3 linked regions of the Notamacropus eugenii genome follow. The protein of the gene in region 3 interacts with the protein of the main gene of each other region in a biochemical or structural test. Links are inferred from orthologs where the notes say so. Each region holds a gene or a part of one and is shown on either strand. Other genes may lie near its edges.

The links. The genes of interacting proteins can lie anywhere in the genome.
Region 1: the proteins of NR2F1 (region 3) and GTF2B form a complex in vitro, tested with the Homo sapiens proteins (2 studies listed by BioGRID and IntAct). The link is inferred for Notamacropus eugenii from reciprocal best matches to the Homo sapiens genes NR2F1 and GTF2B.
Region 2: the proteins of NR2F1 (region 3) and BCL11B form a complex in vitro, tested with the Homo sapiens proteins (2 studies listed by BioGRID). The link is inferred for Notamacropus eugenii from reciprocal best matches to the Homo sapiens genes NR2F1 and BCL11B.

What each region holds. Positions count from the first base shown.
Region 1 is NC_092873.1:499,140,418-499,147,904, reverse strand, and holds the start of GTF2B (transcription initiation factor IIB), read left to right. Parts: upstream 1-3,936; 5' UTR 3,937-5,084; coding exon 5,085-5,101; intron 5,102-7,487. UniProt on the Homo sapiens protein: General transcription factor that plays a role in transcription initiation by RNA polymerase II (Pol II). Involved in the pre-initiation complex (PIC) formation and Pol II recruitment at promoter DNA.
Region 2 is NC_092872.1:356,898,713-356,906,323, reverse strand, and holds the start of BCL11B (B-cell lymphoma/leukemia 11B), read right to left. Parts: upstream 3,552-7,611; 5' UTR 2,738-3,551; coding exon 2,680-2,737; intron 1-2,679. UniProt on the Homo sapiens protein: Key regulator of both differentiation and survival of T-lymphocytes during thymocyte development in mammals.
Region 3 is NC_092875.1:445,983,492-445,991,513, reverse strand, and holds the start of NR2F1 (COUP transcription factor 1), read left to right. Parts: upstream 1-4,512; 5' UTR 4,513-4,606; intron 4,607-8,022. UniProt on the Homo sapiens protein: Coup (chicken ovalbumin upstream promoter) transcription factor binds to the ovalbumin promoter and, in conjunction with another protein (S300-II) stimulates initiation of transcription. Binds to both direct repeats and palindromes of the 5'-AGGTCA-3' motif.

The sequences.
Region 1 (7,487 bases), on a different chromosome or scaffold from region 3:
GCCTTGGAGTTTTCTTTTCATTTCTTACTTCTTGCTTACTTTCATTTCTTACTCCTGATCTGTGTTCTTTCCCTTCTCTTCTTTCTCTCTTTGAAATAACGCTCAAGTCAGGAGTGGGGAACCTGTGACCTCGAGGTCATAGGTTGCCCACCCCGGCTTAGGTGTAAGAAATGAATTTTTAAAACTATACATATATGCATACATGCATAGAGAGATCTATATATGTATAGATATATTTGTATATATCTCTAAATCACCAAGTATTACTGTACATGTTGATTTAATATAGAGGGGTTTCATCAAGGTCTTCATAGAATTTTTGTTCCTCTCATTCTCTACATACATATCGATGCAAAAATTGCCATGATTTTCATGGTGATTTTTTGGGAGGCACTGTTTACTATGAGTATTATATTACAAGATGACCAAATTTCCCATTAATTATCAGGGCAGCTAGGTGGATCGGTGAATAGAGTGGTGGGCCTGGAATGAAGAACATCTACTAGCTGTGTAACTCTGGGCAAGTCACTAAACCCTGACTGCTTCCAAAAAAAAAGAAAAAAGACATACCCCTAGTACCATCTTCATGTAATCCCCCCCCAACTGCTAGTGTCCTTCTCAAACGACCCTATATTTAACTATTTTGTATATATCTGCATTTATTCAATGTATGTGTGTGTATGTGTGTGTGTATATGTGTGTGTGTGTGTGTGTGTGTGTGTGTGTGTGTGTGTGTGTACACACAGAATGCTGGGCATGGAGTAAGGAAGACTCATCTTCCTGATCTCAAATCTGGGCTCAGATTCTTACTAGCTGCATGACCCTGGGCAAGTCACTCAACCCTGTTTGCCTCAGTTTCTTCACCTGTCAAATGAGCTGGAGAAGGAAATGGCAAATCACTCAAGTATCTTTGTCAAGAAAACCCCAAACTGGGCCACAATGAGTCAGATGTGAATAAAATGACAACAATAGAAAAACAAAAATCGAGTAGAATTGTTTCCAGGGATTCCTTATGCTAGCTGTTCTATAGATCTTTTCTATTTTTCAACCAGTATCAGAATAGTTTTTGTGTGTGTGTGTGTGTGTTTGGTTTGTTTGTTTTGGAGACAACTGGGGTTGAGTGACTTGCCTAGTGTTTGATGCCATATTTGAACTCAGATCCTCCTGATTCCAGGACCAATGCCAAAACAGTTTTGATGATGATTCATTTGTCATATAATTTGAGGTCTGGAAGTTATTCTCCCTGAATTCCTACTTTTTTTTTATGATTTCCCTTGAAATCCTAGGTCGAGGCCTTTGGTTCCTTCCAATGAATTTTATTGTTTTGTCTTGCTGTATAAGGCACACCTTGGTGGTCTGACTGGTAGCTTTCCCATTTTTTTACAGTCACACAGTTGACTAGAAGAGGTGGAAAATCCTAAAGACCCCTCACTGCCTATTGTTTTCTGTCTATTAAAAAAAAAGCATTTGATTTGAAGAAGCAGACTCCTGCCTTAAAGGTTGTCTTTCTCTTGGAAAAGGAAGGAATCTGAGCTTTCTGATTTTTCATCCAAGGTAATTTCTACTACCTTATTCATGCTTTCCTCTATTGCCCAAGACAGTTCTTATTCAGGGGAAGCAAGATTTTAATAAATTTGATAATACCTATTATTAAATAATAAAATGGGCATATTTTATTGACACTAATGAACAGAATTATATGGTGGGCAACAAGCTCTGTGTAGGCCCAACCTATTTTTCATTAGTCTTTACACACAGAGCATACCCATAATAAATATAGGACTGAACTAAGATTGTACCATGTTGCTCTCCATTGTAACTGGGGCTATGAAAACATGGCACAATGAAAAGACTGTTGTATTTGGAGTCAGAGGTCCTGGGTTTGAATTCAGCTCAGCTCTTTACTACCCATGTGAACTCTTAGAAATCTCTACACCTTCCCAGGGTCTCAGTTTCTTCATCTGTAAAATGTGGAGTTTAGACTAGCTGGTCTCTGAGAGTCCTTTCAGTTCTAAATACACGATACAGCTTGGTGGAACATGTTAAGGACAGTGAAGGGGTCTCCTGAATTTGCCATTTTGAGTTGCCATATTTTTCCAGAAACACTGAACCTAGAATATCCAAGAGGCCCTGAATGCGTGAAGGACAAAGCTCCCTGCCTCCACATCTTCCCCAGCTGATGTAATTTGCTGTTTTCATCCCAAACTGTGATGGGGTGCTTGGGTGCTTGTGCTTTTATCCCAATTTCAAGATACCATTTCTCCTTAGTTTCAAAAAACACTATCCCTGACAATTTTCACCCCAGCCCTAGGACACTATGCCTAGCAATAACTCATGAGTGCGCCCCAGTAAAACAAACTACCTTTCCCCACAATTACTCAGGAGTGGGCCCCATCACAAGAACAAGCTGACCTCTGAAGAAGTTCTCTTGTAAAAACAGGACTATCTTGTAACCACCGAATTGCCATGTATTGATTCACAAAGTTATCATATTCAATCCAGAGGTCAAGTTATAGACATCAACTCTCAAAGCTACCTTGCTACTGATAATGTTTAATATAAAATTTTGGAATAATCTCTTTGTTCTCTCTGAAGCAAACTCAGAGAATGCCTCTTCCTATGTCAACAAAGCCAGCCAAGGTTGACTCTACATTCCTTAGGAGACCTTTAACCTAAGATACTATCTTGAATAATGGGATAGACACATACTATGTCATGGCATATTAATGGTAAAGAAAATATAGACATCTTAGGTCGTAATTTCTATTGAACTTTGTTTACCCTTTCCTGTCAGTTATCTGTTTAGGGCAGGAAGCCTGCCACTCACTAGTGGTGGGATTTCCTTCCTTATCACCGAGACATATGTTTACCCAGCTGGAATTGCAAGGCCTGACCAACATTACTTTGTTAATTGTCTTGTCTTACTAAATTTATGATTTGTTCAACTAGGAGAGTTCCTTTCTCACAGCAAAATGTATATAAGCCAGAAGATTTCTGCACTGGGTAGCCAGAACATTTCTGGCTCCATAATGCATTATGTTACCGTTGTCTTTAATAGGGAATTGATTAATTAATTAATTAAATCATAAAATGTATGCATTTAGCCTGTTGACTTTTCTTTAACAAAGTATTCAGGTCAACACTACAGACATAACAGATCAAAAATACACCCCTGAGAAACCCCTTCCCCCGGTTTCCAATAGTGAATGATGCCTGTGAACAAGGTTATAAGTTATCATTTAATTAGCATATCTGCTGGATAATTCACTAGTTTTCCTATATTAGCTTTAGCATCATTCCTGTTAAGTGGCAAGTTCCTTAGGGAACACTGCCTAGCATATTGGCATTACAATAAACCTTTGTCACCTTGACTTACAGAATACTTGAGTCCATGAATTCATTCCATATGACCCTGTCCAGTACTCAGGTCTTTGGGGATCCCTGAGCCCCTTAAAGTGCATCAATTGGACTCTCTGTGTGCCCTTGGGAGTCAAGACAAGGGGCCAGTCAGTCTTCACTAGGCTGAGAAACTGCTTATGTCGCTGGGACCCTGTAGATAAGAAGACCATTCCATTTTCATAGCCTAGAAAAGAATGGGGCTTTTGCTCCTCCCCTTCAAGAGCGGTTTTCTCCTTTTCCCAATTTTCCTGCACCTTTCCCCCTCCCTTGCCATACCCCTTTAAGTGGAGATATCTGGTATCTCCTCCTTCCTTTGTCCTGCTGTTATAAATATGCAAACTTCTGGAAGGTATCCTTCTTTCCTTTGTACCAGGGCACAAACTTTCTTCTTATGGCTTCTAAGGTGCTCACAGACTGCAGAAGCAGGTAAGAGAATCTCGCTGTCTTCTATTTAAGCTAGATATTAAAGAGTTATGTAAAAATATGATAAACTGCCACTTGTCTCCCTAATTTTTGTTTTGGAAAATCGTGTTTTTTTTCATAAAATTATGCTTTTACAGGAAATCTTTACCAACTCCTCTTAATTCTGGGGTCTTCCATATATATGCATATATATATATTTATGTATATATATATATTCTTAAATAATTATTTTTTTATCTTGCACAGTTTGCTTTTTAGATAACTATTGATACGCTGTTTTCCCATTAGTTTGTAAGATCTTTGAAGGCAGGGACTGTCTTTTGCCACTTTTTCTGACCTCAGTGTTTAGCGCAGTGCCTACCGCATACTTGGTGCTTATTAAATGTTTAATGATAATATAATAATACACATCACAATATTATATTTATTGTTCAGTCAATGTCGATGAGGTTTTCTTGGCGAAGACATTGGGGTGGTTTGCCATTTCCTTTTCCAGTGTGTCCTTTCATACACATGAGGCAAAGACGGGTTAAGTGACTTGCCCAGGGTCACGCAGCTAGGAAGTACATGAGGCTGGATTTGAACTCGGATCTTCCTGACTCCAGGCTTGGCCCTCTACCTATCCACTGCACCACCTAACTACAGACAGACACACAGAATTAATGTTATTTATAAATATATAATTATATAGGGTTGAGTGATTGATGCTCACATGGAATGGGTTTGTTTTTATTTTATTAATAAACTTGTAAATATTTTAAAATTTTATCAGTTTAAATTTCTACTGACGGATATAAGCCACATAAACAAAGGTTTGGGGAGGTCCTCGATGATAAAGGCTCCTGAGCACAAAAGCTGCACTTACCGCGTCAATTTCAGGCATGACGGTGCGGGGCAGCCCCGGAGGACGTAACCCGGCTCTACGCACTTCAGCGAAAGCTTTTCTCGTCCGGTCGTTTCCGGCTTTCATTCAGGACGAGCCTCACTCAAGTCGAGTCAGCTGACTCCCAGGGGAGGCTGAGTTAATTACACCCGAGGGGCGCCGGCGGAAGAAAAGGCGAAGCCCGTGAGCAGTGGAGCTTCTTGGCTCCTCTCCCGTTCCGTAGTCCGCGCGTCTTACTACGGCTGCGCGCTGTCTGCCTATAAAAGCGGCGCCGCCTGCGGCTTCCCGGAGTTGTCCTTGCGCTTCTCTCTGTTCCGCTGTGCTGTTTTTCGTTCCGCCTGGGGGTCTCATCGAAACCTCCACCGCGGCCGCCGTCAAGATGGCGTCCACTAGCCGGTCAGTAAGTCCTGCTCCGACTCGCCGGGAGCGAATCCTCGGTGGGGCGGCTTCCGCGGGGCTCCGCGGCGGCGTCGCGGGGGAGGCGAGGCCGAGGAGGCGGGGCCGGGCCCGGGCGCGTCCGGGGGGACGCGGGGGGTTCTCTTCGCCCGCCCTGGGGCTTTCCTCGGACGCTTCCTCTTTTTCTCTCCTGGCCTTGGTCGCGGCTTCTCCGCCGGCCGCCCCCTCCTCGGGTCTCAGGCTCAGCCTAGGCCGACGGCGCGCCGTCTCCGAAAGCAAACCTTCCTACCCCAAATCCCTTCGGGCCTTCTGGGGGAGTCCCTCGGTGGGGTCGGGGGGAGCGCGGCCCTCGCTCCGATGTCGCGTCGACCCTCCTCCGGACGGGCTGCCCTTTGCCCCGGGCGGGTTCAGTCCCCAGCCCAGCCTCTGGTCTTCGGGCCCAAACTGAGTCCTGCGGCTGTTGCCTTTCCCACGGGGAGACCCTGCCCCGGGGCCGCCTGGTTCCCCCCCTCGTCGTGCCCCGCCGCCCATCCTCCGAGCCCGGCGGGCGCCTGCCGTCTTCTCCCGAGCACTCGTAGGCCACTGGGGACTCCCGCCGGCTGCGGGCCGGCCCGGCACCCTTGTTTACAGCCTCCAGTTGGGTCACCCTCGCAGTGGGTGTGGCCGTCAGGTGAGGGTGTGGGGGGCCGCGGGATGGAGACGTCAGGTGTTGCGAGGGCCCTCGGACGGAAGGGAGAAAGAAAGCGCTTCTTTACCATAGATGCTTAGGTACGTTTCGTCATCTTCTGTAACATTTAGGGCAGAATTTAATTGAAAATACATTGGAATACACTAGGGACTGCCCTGCCAATCAAAGGACGTACTATGGTGTTAAGTCACTGTTTACTCTTTGTGGATTAAGGACATCCGTTTCCCCTGAATTAGCACCTTCACCCAAGAAAGGAAGGAAGATGGGGGGAAACCAGGATCTGTTCTTGTTACTTCTTGGAGCTGTTCAGTTTTTGTAAGAGCTGTGTTCTCCAAAAAGCAGAAGAGTTATGTTTTGCGTTCAGCTTTGGTGCGGCAGAAGCCTGTGCTGGGCACTGGGGAAGAGTTTCTTTGAGACCTAGGCCCTGCCTTCCTTGGGTTGGATGCAGCCTGGAACCCAAAACAAGGTTCGGAATCAGCTCTGACTTCTCCTTTTGCCGGAGAATCGTCTGTTTCAGAGTCTCTTTTTCCCTTTCCCTTCTCCCTTCCCCATTATCCTTTTATGGTGGTATAATTGTTATTTTTTATGCTTTTATGTTCATTTTAGGTATTTATAGGTCAGGAAAGCATTTTCATGTTTTACTGGTGGAGAGGGAAGAGAAGGGAGTACAAAGCTTAATAGTATGACTGAAGGAAATTTAAGTTTTGCAGAAATAATCAGAATCATCTTTTTATGTTACATTGATGCAAAATTGGGATGTAATATAGTGACCCACGAGTCAGGAGATCTGAGGTCACTAATCCTCACCAGACCTCAGTTTCCTCATCTGTAAGTGAAGGTGTCTGACGAAATGATTTCTAGTGTTCCTTACAGTTGAAAAGTCTGTAAAACTTTGAAAATTGAACCGTTTCTCTGTTAAGCTTCAACCTGAGTTGGTATGTCCATTCTTTGGGAATATAAATTCTGAAACCGGCCCTATGATAATCAAAATACTTGATGCTGTGGCCTGTGAAAGTCTTTAGTTACCTCAAGTAACATGCTTTCGGTAACCAGAACGTTCGCCCTAAGAATTGGATTATGGAAGTTTTTTATTCAGTGTGATACTGACTGTTGAGAAAATATTTTTTATATTTGTCCTAAAGTGGTTTTATGAATGGAATAGAAGTGGTGAGGCAATTATTATTTGGATCTTAAGGGAATGGGGAAGGCAGCTTTTAAAACATGATGAGTGCTTGAACCTTTCTGATTAAACTGATTCGTATTCTGTCTTTAAGAAATCTTAAGACTAAAAGGTTCAACTTTAACCATGAACTAGTATGCACACAAATATTTGATTACACATGAGCAGCACTACTAGCGTCACAGGTGCCAAAATTAACCGACTTCAGCTTTACTTATCTTTTTCTTTTTCTTTCTTTCTTTTTTGGCAACAAGAGAATCGACCATTTGGCAGAAGGTGAAACCAGATTACTTGGAAAACCCACATACTGGATAATTAACCCCTGAATTAATTCAGTTCAGTTGCCTAAATATAACTTTTACACAAGATGCAGTTTCTTTTTGTAGTTATGGTTGTTAATCTTCACAATCTTCAGGAACTCCTGTTGAAGTAGAGCAGTATTTGTTCTCTAGACCATTGGTCTCCAAACTTTTTTGATCACTCCTATTAGCAAAAAGTTTTGAACATGTACCCTCAAT
Region 2 (7,611 bases), on a different chromosome or scaffold from region 3:
GCTTTAGATAGGCAGACAGACAGACAGATAGATAGATAGATAGATAGATAGATAGATAGATAGATAGATAGATAGATAGATAGATAGATAGACCGATAGATGAATGGATGGATGGATAAAGGAGTGAAGGGGGGGAGACCAAATCGTAGGTGGCTTGCCCTCCAGTCCTCCCACAGCCTTCACACCAACCATCACTGTGAGCATAGTAACTCGGCTTCCCTTTCTGCCTCCTTACTACTTTCCAGTAATGCGACCAAGAAAAGAGATGAAATTAAGAGCAAACCTACCTGCTTCTTCCTTCAAATGTTTCCCCCTTAAACACAAATGCAGGCGAGGTTTTCTCCACCACAAGCCTTATTATCCCCACCACCAACCCCTCAACAACTCCCCCCACCTTTCCCCCTCCCCAAAAAACAACCTAAGCAATCATAAAGAAAATACTTGGGGTGGGGGGGGGGAGATTGAATTCTCAGGAAATTAGATTCATGTCTACCGGGTAGACGTTTTTCAATTCCTTCCCCCCCCAAAAAAAGGGGGACATTGTGATTGTTACTCCTCGGTAAAAGAAGAAAATGTCAATTAGCCTAAAGTACCTTTATTTTTAAGAAAAGAAAATAAATGAAGCTCAAATCTGGTTGCGAAACATTTTGTTTCTTTTAAATAACAATGTAACCAGGTTGAATCTTCATTTATGTTCTCACAAAGGTGGGGGGGGGATACAAAATTAAAGTGAGCTTCCTCCCCTTCCCTCCAAAAAGGTCATCCCCATTTAAAGCCAAACGCGACTCAAATATATCCCTCCCATACCCCCCTTCAAAAAATAATCCACCAAATTCTTACAAATTTCTCTCTGTAACAAAGAACAGATCGCAACACCCAAAGCTCCTAGCAGATGGCTTCTATTCTTGGTTTTCAGGGGAGGGGAAGACCCCATATATTTATTTATTTATTTATATCTTTATTTATTTATTTAAATTTTTTAAAAATATAACATAAATATTCGCATTTCCACCGTCTCCAGACAGCCCTCGGCTGCTCGGCGCACAGCCCTCCCGAACACAGCCGGGGCGTTTTGGCCACAACCATAATAGGTTTATGGTGAATTGCGAGAAAACAACCTGCCTCGGATCCTGATTGCACCCAGAGGATGTTTTATTTCTATTGCAATAAAAAAAATTGCGCGCGGCTGAGAAGTGAAGCACGCGTTGCAGGCAGAGGGCTAGAGAGAAAGGGAGAAAGCTTGTGTGCGGCAGGAGGTGCAGCCAGACCTTTGGCCACCGGTGCCACTGAGAGCCTGGACTTCATCTTCCAGCGTCTGGGAGGCTTTCCTCCGTCTACCTTTGTGTACGTTTGTCTATTTTGTTCTCTATCTCTTCCTTTCTCTTTCTTTTTTGCAAGAGCGTTGGAAACTGCAGCTTACACATGGTGTTTCCAGACTTGGCTCTCCTAAAGTGAATCTATCCTCCCAGCAACTCGCTTTCTCAGTGTAGTTGACTGCAAATGAGGGCTATCTTTGCTTGTGTTGATTTAGACAGGGAAGAAGATGGATTCGATTGATAGATGATAGATGGATAGGTATCTACTTTTAGATGGATAGGTGCACCCCAATCTCTCCCATTCTTAGCTGACATACTTTTCCCAGTGGTAGGAATTTTTCAACAGCTCAAGTCTCCCCACCTTTTGGGGGGGAAGGGAGGGGGAAAAGAAAGCAGGATTATCCCAGGAGACACGGAGGTGGGGAAATGGGGTGGGGGGAGAAAGTAGGGGGGTGCTGAGGCTGGGCAAGCAGCTACCAAGTTCAGTTGTTTTGCTGGGGGTGGGGGGGGGTGGATTGGTCTGCAGCACCTGGAAAGCTGCACTGGCCTGCAGCCTGGGCTCCCCTCCCCTCTCCAGGCTCAGAGTCCCGAGGACCTGACTCTTTTCCCGCGGGCTGGCTGGCGGGCGCAGAGGGCTCCTCCCCGGCTGCCTGCCCGCCTGCCTGCCCGGATCCCCGGCAGCCGCCGCCGCCGCCGCTGCCGCCGCGCGCCGCGCCCCTCCCCCCCGCGCCATTACCTCAAGTCTCCCCCAACTCTCCCAAGAACCGGGCCCTGAGCGCAGCCCCGCAGCCACCCGCTTCCTCCCCCGGTCAGCCAAGCTCCAACTTTTCCCCCCACTTCCAGGCTCTGCGTATCCACCCTCCTAAAAAAAACCACACAGATTCCTCACCCAAACCCCTCCTCTCCCCCACTCTCGTCCCCTCCCCAGTCCTGCCGCCGCCACACACCGTGCACCGTGCAATCCACCCCAAGTGCCCCCTACACACACCTTCTCCCCTGCAAACCCCCCGACCCCCCGGCCCGGCCTTCCAGCCCGTTCCCGGGCTGCATCTTTCCCCAAAGCCGGCGGCGCGGTTGTCTCTCCCACGCTGCCGGCAGCACCCCGATGCAAAAGAAACTTTAAGCTTTCTCGCCTCCCCCCACCCCAGCCTTCCTTTCCCCAGCCTTTCAATCCCCCCTTCTCCCCTCCGATTTCCAATGACTAACATCAGCCTCGGCTGTCTCTCCCCCACCCCCTCCTCTTTTTCCCCAAGACTTTTTTTTAAAGACACCCCCCACACACACTCTCCCAATCCGTTTCCCTCTCCCCAACACCCCCGGAGCCCTAGGCTCCTAATTCTTCTAGTTTCAAATTGAGACTTACGTGTGATAATCTCCCTTTGTGACAAGTGTTGCGGGTTCCCCTGTTTGCGGCGGGACATTGCCTGGCATTTACACTGACATCGCCCGGAGAGCTGTACCGGTTGGGGGGAATGGAGAGGGGAGGGGGGTGGAGGTTAAAGCCGCTGCTGCTCCCCGCCTCTTTTTTTCCTTCTTTCTTTCTTGCCCCCTTTTTCTCCTCTTCTTCTTCTTCTTTATTTTGTTCTTCTAGTTTAAAAAACTTTCAAATTTAAATTTTAGAAAGAAAAAAAACTCTTGTTGTTGTCGTGCACTAGATGAAATCCCCCCAATATTTAGAAAAAAAAAATTTAAGAGGTAAAGAAAAAAAAATATCTGTCTCTCACTTCTCCAAACTGTTTGGCCACTTGGACTTCCAAATGTCTTCTTGAACTTAGAGGATTTTGCACCAACCCGTGACACTTTTCTCCAAAGTCTCTGGTAGGTGGAAAGCGCACTTCCACCAGGACGGAAAAAAGAATATGAAAAAGAATAAAATAAAATAAAACTTGGGACTTGTTTTCCCCCGCCCCTTGCCAAAAAAAAAGAAAAAAGAAAAAAAAGAAACATAAAAGTGCCCCCCAATTTTTTCTGACACTAACCCTTTTGGCTGGTTTTGGGGGGCAGCTCAGTAGTGTCTCCTTTCCAGTTCACCTGGAACGCTCGCCCTATGCCTTGGGTTCCCAGAGTCCCTGCACCACTTTGCACTGTTCTCCCTCGCCTGGCACAGGGGAAGGAAGGTAGGACGGTAGCCCAGTGCTGCTGGGTCGGTGCGAGCTATTACTATTATATATATATATATAAATATATATTGCAATGTGAAGATGGCGGAGTCCAGGTTCTCTGGGAGCTCTCTGTCTCTCTATGGCTGGGGCTGCCTCTGTACAATGGGATAAAATTCAAGTTCAAGTGCGGACGTGACGTTTAATCTGCACTAGAGACAAAAAGACCCAGAGAGTCGGAGCACTGGGGGCGACTAGTGGTGGCTTTTTAACATTGTACCCTGCAAGAGAACAAGAAAACACACACACACACACATACATACACACGAGCGCACATGCACACACACCAACCCAACCACATGTACAAATCGGGTTTTTGTGCGCTTCTGCTTTTCCATGGTACATGTTTGGGGGGACAGAGGGGAATTCGTAATTTTTTTTTTAAATGATGGTAATTATGACAAAATATTCTTCACCTGTCCACCACTCTTGCGGGCAATACCCTGGATTGATGGAAGGATATAGGAGATGGAAGATATACAAACCCCGACAGCTAGGGTCTTCTTTCCTAGTGGAAAACTCCTTCACTTTCACCCCCCAATAAGATATCATTTTGGATGTGGGGGAGAGCATATGAAGCAACTTGGAAATAGTTGGAGTTGTAATGAGACGGGTTGGGGAAGAGGTAGAAAGGGGGATGGCCAATTATTTAACCACCCCGCCAAAAAAATTCCAGTCAAGTAAGTTAGGTAGTGGGTTCTTTGAGGGTTGGTATAGAGTTATTTAGGGAGAGGAAAGATTGTTAAAACTCTTCTAGAAAATGATTCTTTTAGAACCTCAGTGCTGTATATAGGGCGGAGGGGTCGGTTGAGGTAGGGAGAGTTCTGGCCGAGATTGAAGTGCGGTCTTCCTTATTTTATGAGACTCCTGTTTTGGTAATCTGCCTTCCCCCTCCTCTTTCCCTTCCATCCCCCCACCCCCGGTCTGAGCGTAGTTTTCCCCGAAAGACACTCATCCTAGTTCCTTACTTGAAGTCAGTTCGTGTCAAACATTCCCTTCCCTCTCCCAATTACTCTGAAATCTGCATAGAGCGTTTGGGGGGGGGGGGGGGTTTGGGGGGCAAAGATAAGGGTTGTAATGTTGATCAGAGTTCGATGCCTCTGGCAGGGTGGCGGAGGCATCCTTTATCTATTCACTTTTGGCTCGTGAAGAAATTCAAGGCACAGAGGAGCTTGAACGTGGTCCCTTAACCATGACTCTCTGTGGAATCCCCTGCCAGAGAGGCACAAAATACCCTTAAGAAACTCGTTTCTCAGCAGTAGAATGTCTGACACTACCCATCTAAAGAAGAGGGGATATTTATACGGCCCTTAAAAGTCTTCCCTGTCTCCTTCTAGTTTAATTGGGAAGGATACAACTACCTTTTAGGCATCACTCCAAGGCCCAAACCCGGAAAAAGGCAGGGCTGCGAACCCCAGGCTAAAAGTGTATGTGTATGTGTCTGTATGTAGAATCCCTGGAACTCTACCCTCCACCTTCCTCATTTCAGCCTATTTTTCTCATCTCCCCTTCCCCATAGGTGGCTTTCAGGGCTACGGCGTAGGAAAGATAACTTTTGTTAAGCGGAGGATAAGCCACTTTGGGACCTCCCTTGGTCCCCAGGGAGGTTTAAAATGCAAGCCTTCTCTAAGACTCGCCTCTCACTCCTAGCCTTCCTTTTCCTACACTTCGTATTCCCAGCACTCCAGACAGTGACCTGGGAGGCCCAGGCCTCCGGGGCAGCGCTGCCCCCTTCTCCATTCCCCGCCCCTCTCTACTCTCAGGGACCAGCTCAGAAGCGAGTCTGCACAAACAGCTAAGAAGTAGTATGCATTTAGCACCTCTTAAGCAGTTTATTTTTCTCCCCTCCCCCTCATTCTTTATGGGCTGGGGGTGGTGGGGTGGTAGTTATTTGTTTGCTTTTAGGGTCCTATAAAGGAAATTAGCATCCTGGATAGTAACTGCTCGTAGCAATTTTGAGTGCGTCCAGAAATCCTACTCTACTTTAAAAAAAAAAAATTAGTCAACTCATAAAGTTATGCAAACAATCGAATGGGGGGGAGGGGGGAGATGTGAACTGCTCTCAAATGATAGCGCCGGAGGCAGAGTGAGGAGCGCAAGGGGGAACGGCTGGGGTGGGGGTGGGGTGGGCGCAGTTTTTGAATGAGTAGCATCTTCTGCTAGGAGGTGAGCCAGTAGAGCCGAACCGGGTGGTGAGATCATAAGGGCCAAACTGTAGGGCACAGGGTTGAGGCTTAGGTGGAGAGACAGCGCCCCCGGGGGACAGGGGCTTTTTTCCACCGTGGGAGGCGGGCGGGGGGGAGGGGCGGGGGGAGAGAGAGAGAGAGGGAGAGAGAGAGAGAGACAGGGAGGGAGAGAAAGAGAGAGAGAGAGAGAGAGAGAGAGAGAGAGAGAGATTTCTGCATAAATCTTTCCATGCCCTACCTCCATTTACCTGAAGTCTGAAAAGCTGCCGCCTCACCTAACGTCAAGATGATCGATGAGTCGGGGGTCACGGAAAGCTTTCTAGGAATGCCGCTTGTGTTCAAAGAAAATGACCCTTCGCTTACACCTCTCCAAAAAGTTCAGAGGCATACCTTAGACTGACTACCCTGAATCTATTTACCCTTTCTAGGAGTCTGAGAACACACGCACTTCAGTCTCCTTGTTTTTTGTTTATAACATATATACACACATATATATACATGTATGTATATACACATATATATATACATATATGCCCCTTTATACTAACACATATACACAAAATACGTATGTTTGTATACATATATATCATACATATGCTATATACATTCCTATATAATACACAGAGAAATTTGATGTCACCTAACTGTAGTTTTTTCAGGTGATATAAAATCGTTCCACAAGCTAAGCCAAGAAACTCAAGACCTGAGTAGGAAGAGAGAGGGAGAAGACAAACTGTGGGTTCTTCTGAGAGGGAAGGAAACACGAAAAAGGAGGCCAACGGGACATCAGAAAAGTGATCCACAGGGTGAGAAGAATTCACCTTTCTCTGGGGAGATAAAGCACTTTTCATAGCGATCCAGACCTCAGCAGGATTCCCTTAAGTTTGGGATGGAATTACGAAGGGGGGGGAGTAATTGGAATTCCTTCCTTATTTCTTCCCTGGATCCTCTTTCCATCTCTGCATGTCCAACCAGGAAGTCGCTGGCAGCTTCAGACAGTGACTGTCAGTGGGCATTTCACTCAGGAACCTGGGATAAATAAATGATAAACCCATGGGTGAGTTTCCTTATTACTTTCTCAAACCTGAACTAGGCGTGGGGAGCACACAGTGCCTATCCCGGCAGTGTGATGGTGCCTTCTCTGCTTCCACTGATAAGGTATCTGGCCTGTTTCATCAAAAAGGTGTGCCCTTTTATTTTTGCCCCTAAAAAATGAAAAGAGAGAGAGAAAGAGAGAGAGAGAGAGAGAGAGAGAGAGAGAGAGAGAGAGAGAGAGAGAGAGAGAGAGAGAGAGAGAGAGGAGAGGGAAGGAAAGAAAATATAGAGGAGAAAGAAAAAAAGAGAAGAGAAAAAGAAAGTAAATATAGAAAAAAGAGAGAGAGAAGAGGAGAGGGAGGGAGAGAGAGAGAGAGAAAGAGAGAGAGAGAGAGAGAGAGAGAGAGAGAGAGAGAGAGAGAGAGAGAGAGAGAGAGAGAGAGAGAGAGAGAGAGCCTAACTGCTGCTCCAGTCTCTTCTTTTTTTTCTCTCCCCCGTCTGGCACTTGTGATCATTAGCACTGAAAGCTGTTAATGTCTTGTCTCACAGCTCCCCCTTTAGTCTCCTTGCTCTCCTGTCTCGCGTTCAAAGCCAGATCAATAGCAGTCTCTTTTCCAACCTTGACCTATCCCTCGACCCCGCCTCCGTCTGCAGCTGGGCCCACTGTTCTGTTTTCTCACTCTGTCGATATCAAGTCACAATCGGTGACAGCAGACAAACAAGAAGAACTAGCCTCTCTCCCGGGGCGAGCTGAACTCGCCCCCCACCCCCACCTACCCCACCGCCTTTCCTTTTCTTCCACTCTTTCCCCCAGCACTGCCAGCTACAATGGCACTGGGACCAGAAATGTTTCTGTCCCACGAATTATTTTCATTCTTGTTCCAGGGATCTCCCTCACCCTGCCTTTGATCTATC
Region 3 (8,022 bases):
TTGAGATGTCCTTTCATGTACAGAATGAAATAATTCAAAGTGTGTGACTTTGTAAGTACCATGCCAAGTTTAAAGACTTGAAAAATGTCATTCTACCACATAGGGTAAATTCTTTGGAGCAAATTAAGCTCAATAAACAACTTTTTTAAATTACAAAATATCTTTATCTTTTAATTCACTTAACAATGCTGGTAAGATACCATTTAATCTGTTTTGATGCTGAGAGAACACACTGCGCAATTGTTACAGCTATCAATGCATCTTCATCAAGGTGTATATATACAGTATATTCATGAGTGCAAACATAGATCAGAGCAATGTTGGCATATGTGCCTATTCAAGCACATGCACACAATTCTACCCCTGAGGATTATCTTTACACAGAACAATGTGCTCTAAATGACAGTATATTTCCATGATGAAAAACAGTGATTGACAAGAAATATATGATCCACATTGTATCATTGTTGTCAAACATCTACTTCATTTGTGGAGTTCAATGTAAATAGTAATCAGAGGGAAAGAATTTTCAAAGCCTCAGACAGACTTTGCTGTCCAGGTCCTGGCCCAAAGAAGAAAGATAAATCTAAACAGTACTAACTGGACAATCCCTAAATCGGTCTAAGGACCATGACCATATGATTGCAATTCGTAGCCATGCTGATGCATTATTTTAATTCAATGCATGGATCTGGCATTTATTGATTTAATAAGGTTAAGGGAATTTCACAGTAGTTGCTACTGATGAACTGTCAGAAATTTAATTTAGTGAAATTCTTAGGTAAGAATATGCATTTGTAGGGGAGAGAGACAACCAATATAAGTTGGAGAAGACAGATCTCAACAAAAAAGTTCCCCTTTCAGCTGAAAAGGTACCTGAAGGAGATCCTGGTCAGAAGGAGAAGTTTTGCTGATCTACTGAAAGTATACCCATTGCAGTCCACAGCAAAGCTTCTTAGCCAGCCTACTTGGCCCTTCTGATATTTTCTGGAATTAAAGATGGTACTCAAAGGGCAATATGGTGTTCACACTGCCCTTTAGGAAACCTTTGAGCATCACACTAACGGTTAATGGTCTGAGGGAATCAAGATCAAGATAATTTCTGCCATATCAGAATGAGTAAGAACTCAGGCTAAGTCCCCACACAACCCCCCACCACATACACACACACACACACACACACACACACACAAACACACACACACACATCTTTTTTTGCCTCATGAAGTCTCACCAGTCCTAGACATGCTCCCTTACCTTGATGTCTAACATGGTTTCAGGCAGGAAGGCAGCAAATTATCCCTGGGCCCTGGCCTTTTCCTGAGAACCATCAGGACAGGGGAAGGAGAGGCAGGAAATGTACCTTCCTGGAAAGGATTCTGCCCAAACATAACAACCAAAGTGGAGGGGGAGGGAAGTGTCAGGGTGTGTAAGATAAAGTAACAAAATGAGTAGTGACTAGAATGAGGTCCTTGGTCAAGAAAGGGAAGAAAAATGTTTACATGTCTCTGCAGCATCTATCTTAAGGTACCACTACTGAGAGGAGAACTTTTTTATCAGAACCAGAATAGCTAACCTGTTTGTAGGCTCAACTCCTTCCTGGCACACCTGGGTAGCATGTTTTTCTCCGTTTTCCCGGGACTTTGAAGAAGCGGATAATCTGAGGAGCCAGAGCTGCTGTTGCCCGGGTCAGTAAAACTATGCTAATTGGTGAACCTAATTGCTTCAAGCAGTCTTGTCTCTAAACAGGGAGAGCCCAGTTGATGGAGTCAGTCTGTTCCTAATAAAATGAAGAAGCACTGAATTAAATTCCCAAGGAAGGCCCTATAAAAGTTTCCACCCTGTAGCCAAATGACTTCACCTATGCTATTATCCCTCGAATGACATCTTTGAAAGAAAGCAGACCCCATTCGGCCTCCATATTCATAAATTGGCTCTGCTCAGGCCAGTCAATCTGGATTGATTTAAAAAGGCTTTTTCATCCTTCCAATCAAATGAAGTCATTGTTAATTAGATGCTTTCTGTTAACAATGTCACTTTTCCCGGAATTACCTGCTCACACTTCGCAAGCCAGCTAGAGCAACATCTGGAGCAGCAGTTTCTTTCAATCAGTCCTCAGCACAGCTTGGCTGCACAGTGGTATATTTCCTCTTCTCGATCCCTGTCTGAAGGAAGATACTATTCAGTGTCCTGGTGGCGATCTCAATGCCAGCGCTATCATTTGGAAAGATTACAAATACCTCTAGATAAACTCCTTAGACTGCACTCTCTCAAGACCTGTTTCTGCAAAACAGCAATTTCTCAGCTTTGGAACAGCCTTGAAGAGGAATGTTTCTGAACTTAATCAGGAACAAAGTTGTTTTCCGACAGTTTGCACCCACACCAAAAGCTCATTATTCTAGGAAGCTGGGTTCAGGGCGCCCCCCTCCATGCTCTGGGACCTTCTCCCTGACACTCCTAGGTGAACATCTATTGAAGGTGCAACTGACTACGTGCAGCACAGTCTGCTTAGGCGCTCACTGGCCTTTGAAAGAAAATGCTTTTTCGGAGAAGCACTAGAAAGATTTCAGCTATTGAGAATAGGGGAAGGGGGAGGGCGGAGTTGCAGGCATCGTTTTTTGAGCTCTCGATCTTTCACCATCACTATCTTTGTAGTCTAGGGCAGGGTGCAGACGGCATCCCAAGCTGCATCCCTGACGGCATCTGACAAACTGCACTCAGGAGAGGAATAGAAGACGTCAAGGAGGACTGACACTCTCCCTGAACCTCGAATGAACTGTCCAGAGCTAGAGAGACGTTTACCTGGCGACTAATAGGGCTAGGCCATCGGCAATGGGACTTGGAGGAGAGTTGAGAAGGGAGTTTTGCCCCTCCCCAGGTCGGGTTGGCCCCACTTCCCAGGCTTTCTGCCCACGTGTTCCACTTCCACATACCTTTCTGTCTTAACCAACCCCATTGACTCCACCTTTTTTTTCCTCCCAAAACTCATCCCAATCTTACCCTTCACAGAAAAATGTGACCCAGATTTCCACACACTCCTCTGCAAACAGTCTTTCTGCCCCACCTTCCCTACTATGCAACTGCAGGCTAAATCCTAAAAAAGTTGGCCCTTTTGGTCTAGCTAATGTGTCTCTTCCTGGACCTAACCACTCACCTCACTGATGCTGATGTTTCTTCTTGCACCCTACAACACCTCTATGGTAGAAAGGAAACCAATGGTTTCTCAGAAAACAGAGAACTGAGACTTGTTTCCCTTCCTCCTGGGGTCATATTATCCTCTAGACAAAGAGGCTGCAGATACTCCATGGTTCCTCTCAAGATATAATCTCCAGCAAAAGAGGAAGGACAAGAGTGGTGGCGGAAGGACTCCTACACAATAGGATCTCATTTAGACTGCCATAAATTGGTGATTTATTTATAAGGGAACTTATTTCAGTAGAGAGGTAGAAGAAGGCAATGATACGTGACTTGAGAGAGGATGGGTAGATACATGATAGAGATCAGACCTGTGATTTCATTGATTAAGGAACTCTCAAGTGAGCAAATTCCCCCTTCCAGTGCTGTTGGGCAGCTTTTCTGTTACTTATACTCTTAGAAAGTTACCTAGAGCTCTGGGAGATTAAGTGACATGCATGTGCAAAGTCACAGTCAATATGTCAGAGACTGAAATTGAATTCAGGTCTTCCTGGCTTCAAGGACGTTTTTCTATCCACTAGGCCAGGATGCCTCTTAGGGCAAACATCAAAGTAAAAGATGACATTTGGGGCCTCCTGCCTGCTAGTCAATCCCATGGCTTGATTGGGCTGGGAAAGTGAACACATAGGTACCCAGAGGAAAACAAATACTGGGTTCTGAGGTTAAAGACCACCAAAGACTTAAGAAAGACTTTCTTGCCTCTGGTTTTTTTTTCTTCTTCAGATTGATTGGATGAAGGGGCTTCTTGAATGGGGAGGAGGGGGAAGGAAGAGAGTCTACTCTAAGTGTCAGTGATCTGACCTTTGTAAAAAGAAATGCTCTAGCATTGACATATATCAGATATCTTGTAGGCTAGGGATCTGGCTATTCATCTAAAGCCATCCTTCCCCTAATTCGCTCTGCAGAGGAAGTAGAACACATGGGTTAACCAGCATTTAAATCTTGATTTTTTAATGATTCAGCACTGAAAGACCACAAATGTTGAAGTGGCAATAACAGTAATAGGCTAAAAGATTGGACAGGCAAGACATAGGTAAATCTGAGGAATTTAGAATTTTAATCTCAAAATCCTTGACACCCAGAACTTCTTGAACCAATGATACCATGAGCTCCTCAGCTCTTCAAAAGGACAAGTTAACTAAGTTTCTTGTAGCTCTATCTCTTTGGGAGGGAAGCAGACAATAGCAGCTGAAACACCTGCGATCTATCATTGCAATAAAATATGTACAGTAATGTGGAGTCATTTCTCTTTCCGCTTCCAGAGGGAGCTCAAACCTGAAAAATCAAGGTTAGCATTCTCCAAACTGTAAACATTTTCAACAGGAGACACTGCAAAACATGAAAGGGAAGCTTGCGGCCCTAACCCCAGAGAGCATTGACAATTTCACACAGAAAGGACGTCCCGATTTCCGTAAGATTCTGTTGCTTTTTTTATTAGTGTTTATGTCAACCTAAAATAGGACACGCGGTTGGGAAGTGACTTGGGGCAGGGGGTTGGGGACTGGAGAAAGAAAAGGAGGAAGAATGGGGGAGAAGGGGAGAGAGAGAGAGAGAGAGAGCTCATTTTAAACACCTATGTGTTTAAGTGCTTTAATCTCATTTGAGAGAGAGACCTGACTATCGATGGGTAAATCATAGTTTGAGTTGAATTGGAAGGATGGCTTTAAAATGTGAATCTTTATGACTATTTTGTAGTTATGAAGTTCACGTAGCTCTAAGAAATCTTTGTGTAGCTATGTCCACCTCCTTAAGCGGTTTATCACAGTTCTTGTATGTTTTGAGGAAGGTCTCACATGTCATATCCCCCCATATGTGTATGGCCTCTAACCAATTCACATACCTGTCTCTGTGGTTGTCTGTATAGTACTCTACTTCCTGTTGTGATAGACTTAAAGCAATGCCGATGTTTCAAGTCACTGACTTCTGAATAAGCAGTAGAATTCCCAGAGTTGGTAGTTCTTCCTCCGCTCCCAACCCCCGATCCAAGAGGCGAGAAGAGGTTCTGTACTGAAAGGACAGAATATGTTTGGAATCTAGAGTTTGGGACTTAAGAAAGGATGGAGTATGGCTGAATCCGAGCCTCTTTGAAAGTATAGCTAGGTCAGTCCTGACCCTCGAAACTCCAGTCTCCCACCCCCCCCCCCCCCAACCCCACTAACAACACACAGCCATTCTAATCACCTGTTCTGCCTGAGCTTTCACCTTGGTCCAGACCCCAAACTCCCCGAAGGTTGTCCCCAAAGTCCAATGTGGCTCCCTTAACCCCTTTCTGATGGGAGGAAGTTCTGCCAGGCAGACACTGGATATTCTGTGCCAGAGCCAACCAGAGCCAGGACTCCCAACAGAAAGACACAGTCAGGTACTAGTTGCAAATGCTCTGCTTTTGAAATACCTAGATCCCTTTCTCCCCCGACCCCATTCCATGAAATGACAATGTCACTGTTTGGGTTTGTTGTTTTTAAATACATTAACGGATCATTGTGGTCTCCCTTGTCAAGTCATTATGCCTTTATCCCCACCAATTAACCACACCTCACAGGGCTGCTATTAAGAGCTAAATTGAGCTTAAAAAGTGAGGTATCCCATTTCATACAGATGTTGTAATCTCCCGCAGATAATCGCGGCAAACCGCCAGAGAAATTACTGGAGGTCAGGTCGAATTCGCTCCTCTGGAGGGATGCTGGTTCCCTCAGAACCAACTTCTGGGAAGTAGGGAACTGGTGAGCAGGGAAATCAGTTACCAACTCTGGGAGAAGTGAGAAGTCGAGTAAGTCGACTGCTTTAGGGGCTGCTGGGTTGTGAGGACTGGCGAGACCGGTATCGGACTGGGGTCGGATCAGAGAGGCCAAGAGCACCAGAAAGGGAAATCTCCTAGGTAGTGCCACAGAGAACACTCCAAGAGCAAGTCGTGCGTTTTTACGCAAGAAGTTGAGCTTGAGGATACAGTTAGGTAAGGGAAGGTAGTGCAGCTTTGTTCTTAGTCTTCTCTAGGATTGCCGGAGCCTTAATCAGGGACTTTGGGTGAAAATACCGGGGAGGTGGGATGTTAGCCCAATATATGTCGCTACTAATTTTTCTTACCAGGTTAGTTGAGTCTCCGCAAGCAGGGCTGAAACCCCTGAAAGTTTGACACAGGCAAGGGGGTTATAGGACGGGGCTCCGATTGCTGATTGCAAGCAAGCTGAGAGTACTGAAGTTGTTTAAGCAGTAAGTGAAAGAAGGTGGAAAAGTGGCGCCCGGAATTAAGAGGATTCACCCAGAAAAGACGTGAGCGGCCTGTTGTAGCTTTCTTCATTATTATCCCAGCCACGGTCCTGATCCAGCACCATCCCCCCTTCCCGCCCCAGTAGGTGCAGCTGGAGGGATCTAGGACTTCAGGAGCCAAGATCCCCTAAAAGGATCTGCAGAGCTCTGCTCCTTGACCCTGGGAAAAAGGCTTGGGTTAGGGCGGGCTTCAGGAGGAGGAAAGCTCATCAGTGTATCCTTGCCTTCGGTGACTTAGATTTCACTCTCAATGTTGGGTACAACAAATTTAGTCAAGCCTAAAGAGATTAATTTTCCAGTGTAATCCAATTAAAAGATTTCTAAAGTAATCTTTTGCAAAAAGAAAAAAAGCGCAATGCCACTAAAGAGGGCTTGGTGACACTGATTTATCGCTGGAGTGAAATGAGTGGGCAGGACTCTCTCCCCCTCCCCTTGATGGAATTTGACCAGTACATCCTCTCGCTGCCTCCAGTGGAAAATATATTTGCTTTTCGGAAAGACACCCATCCATCACGCCAACCTGTGCATCCGATAATATGGAGGGGAGTTGGGTTGCTTACAAGCACCATAGACTTTTTAAAGTGCTAATAGATTTATGGTCTCTTTCTCGACGCCCATCCAGAGTAATTAGCACATATGTTCTAAATAGATGATAGTTTTGTGAGCAGTAAAGCAATTACCCATCGTTGGAGCTGACAGTTCCTCCAACTAAACTCCAACCAGCAGCTAATTGGAAAAGTCATTTCAGCTCCATTGTCTGCAATTAGTCCTGCTAAACTACTACACCCCAACTAGCTGGTTTGAGGTTAATTTATTCCCTCTTTTTATTTTCATTGGAAGAGCCTTGCCAAATAGGACTTTCCTGTTGCCCTTCAGGACGTTGCCCTGGGACTGAGTGGAGACTTGAGCCCTCTGGGGGTGGGGAAGGAAGCGGGGATGTGGGGGACTTCCTGGGTTCGCTTGTGGGCTCAATCATCTGTGCCAGGCTGAAGAAGGGAGCACCTTTTTCCTAACAATTTCTGTGTCCAGCAGCCTAAATTCAGTCTAAATAAAATCTCTTCCTTAGTTGGCAGCAAGTAATTTGGTTAAGTTTCAAGCTTCTAAAAGTCGTTTTTCTTCCTTGGCGTTAAAACGAGCCATTGAGGACACGGACTCTGAAAGTGTCCCCTGCCTCCGCACTCCTCCACCCCACCCTCTGCTAGTCCCTAAGGAGAAATCTGTCTTCTAGGGAGCCCCATACCGATAAGAGCAGCAAAGTAAGCCTGAGTTACACTTGACTCTCTGGTCTGAACTCTCAGTGGGGAAGAAGAGGAAAGGATTTTATTGTTGACCCTTCAAACTGAGAGGGAGCCTCAGAGCTCTTGGGACAGAGCCACACCCCAAAGCTTCTCCCCTTCTACACTTAGGAGAGTTTTTATATTATTATTATGTTTGTGTGTGTGAAGCCACACAGGTCTAGGGCTTGTGCACAGTGAGTGGAAAAAATGTGTTAAACGGCGGTTTGATGCCCCATCGGAGCTTCCAAATATCCAGCGGCTGGAATTCTTCTACTTAATTTACTCT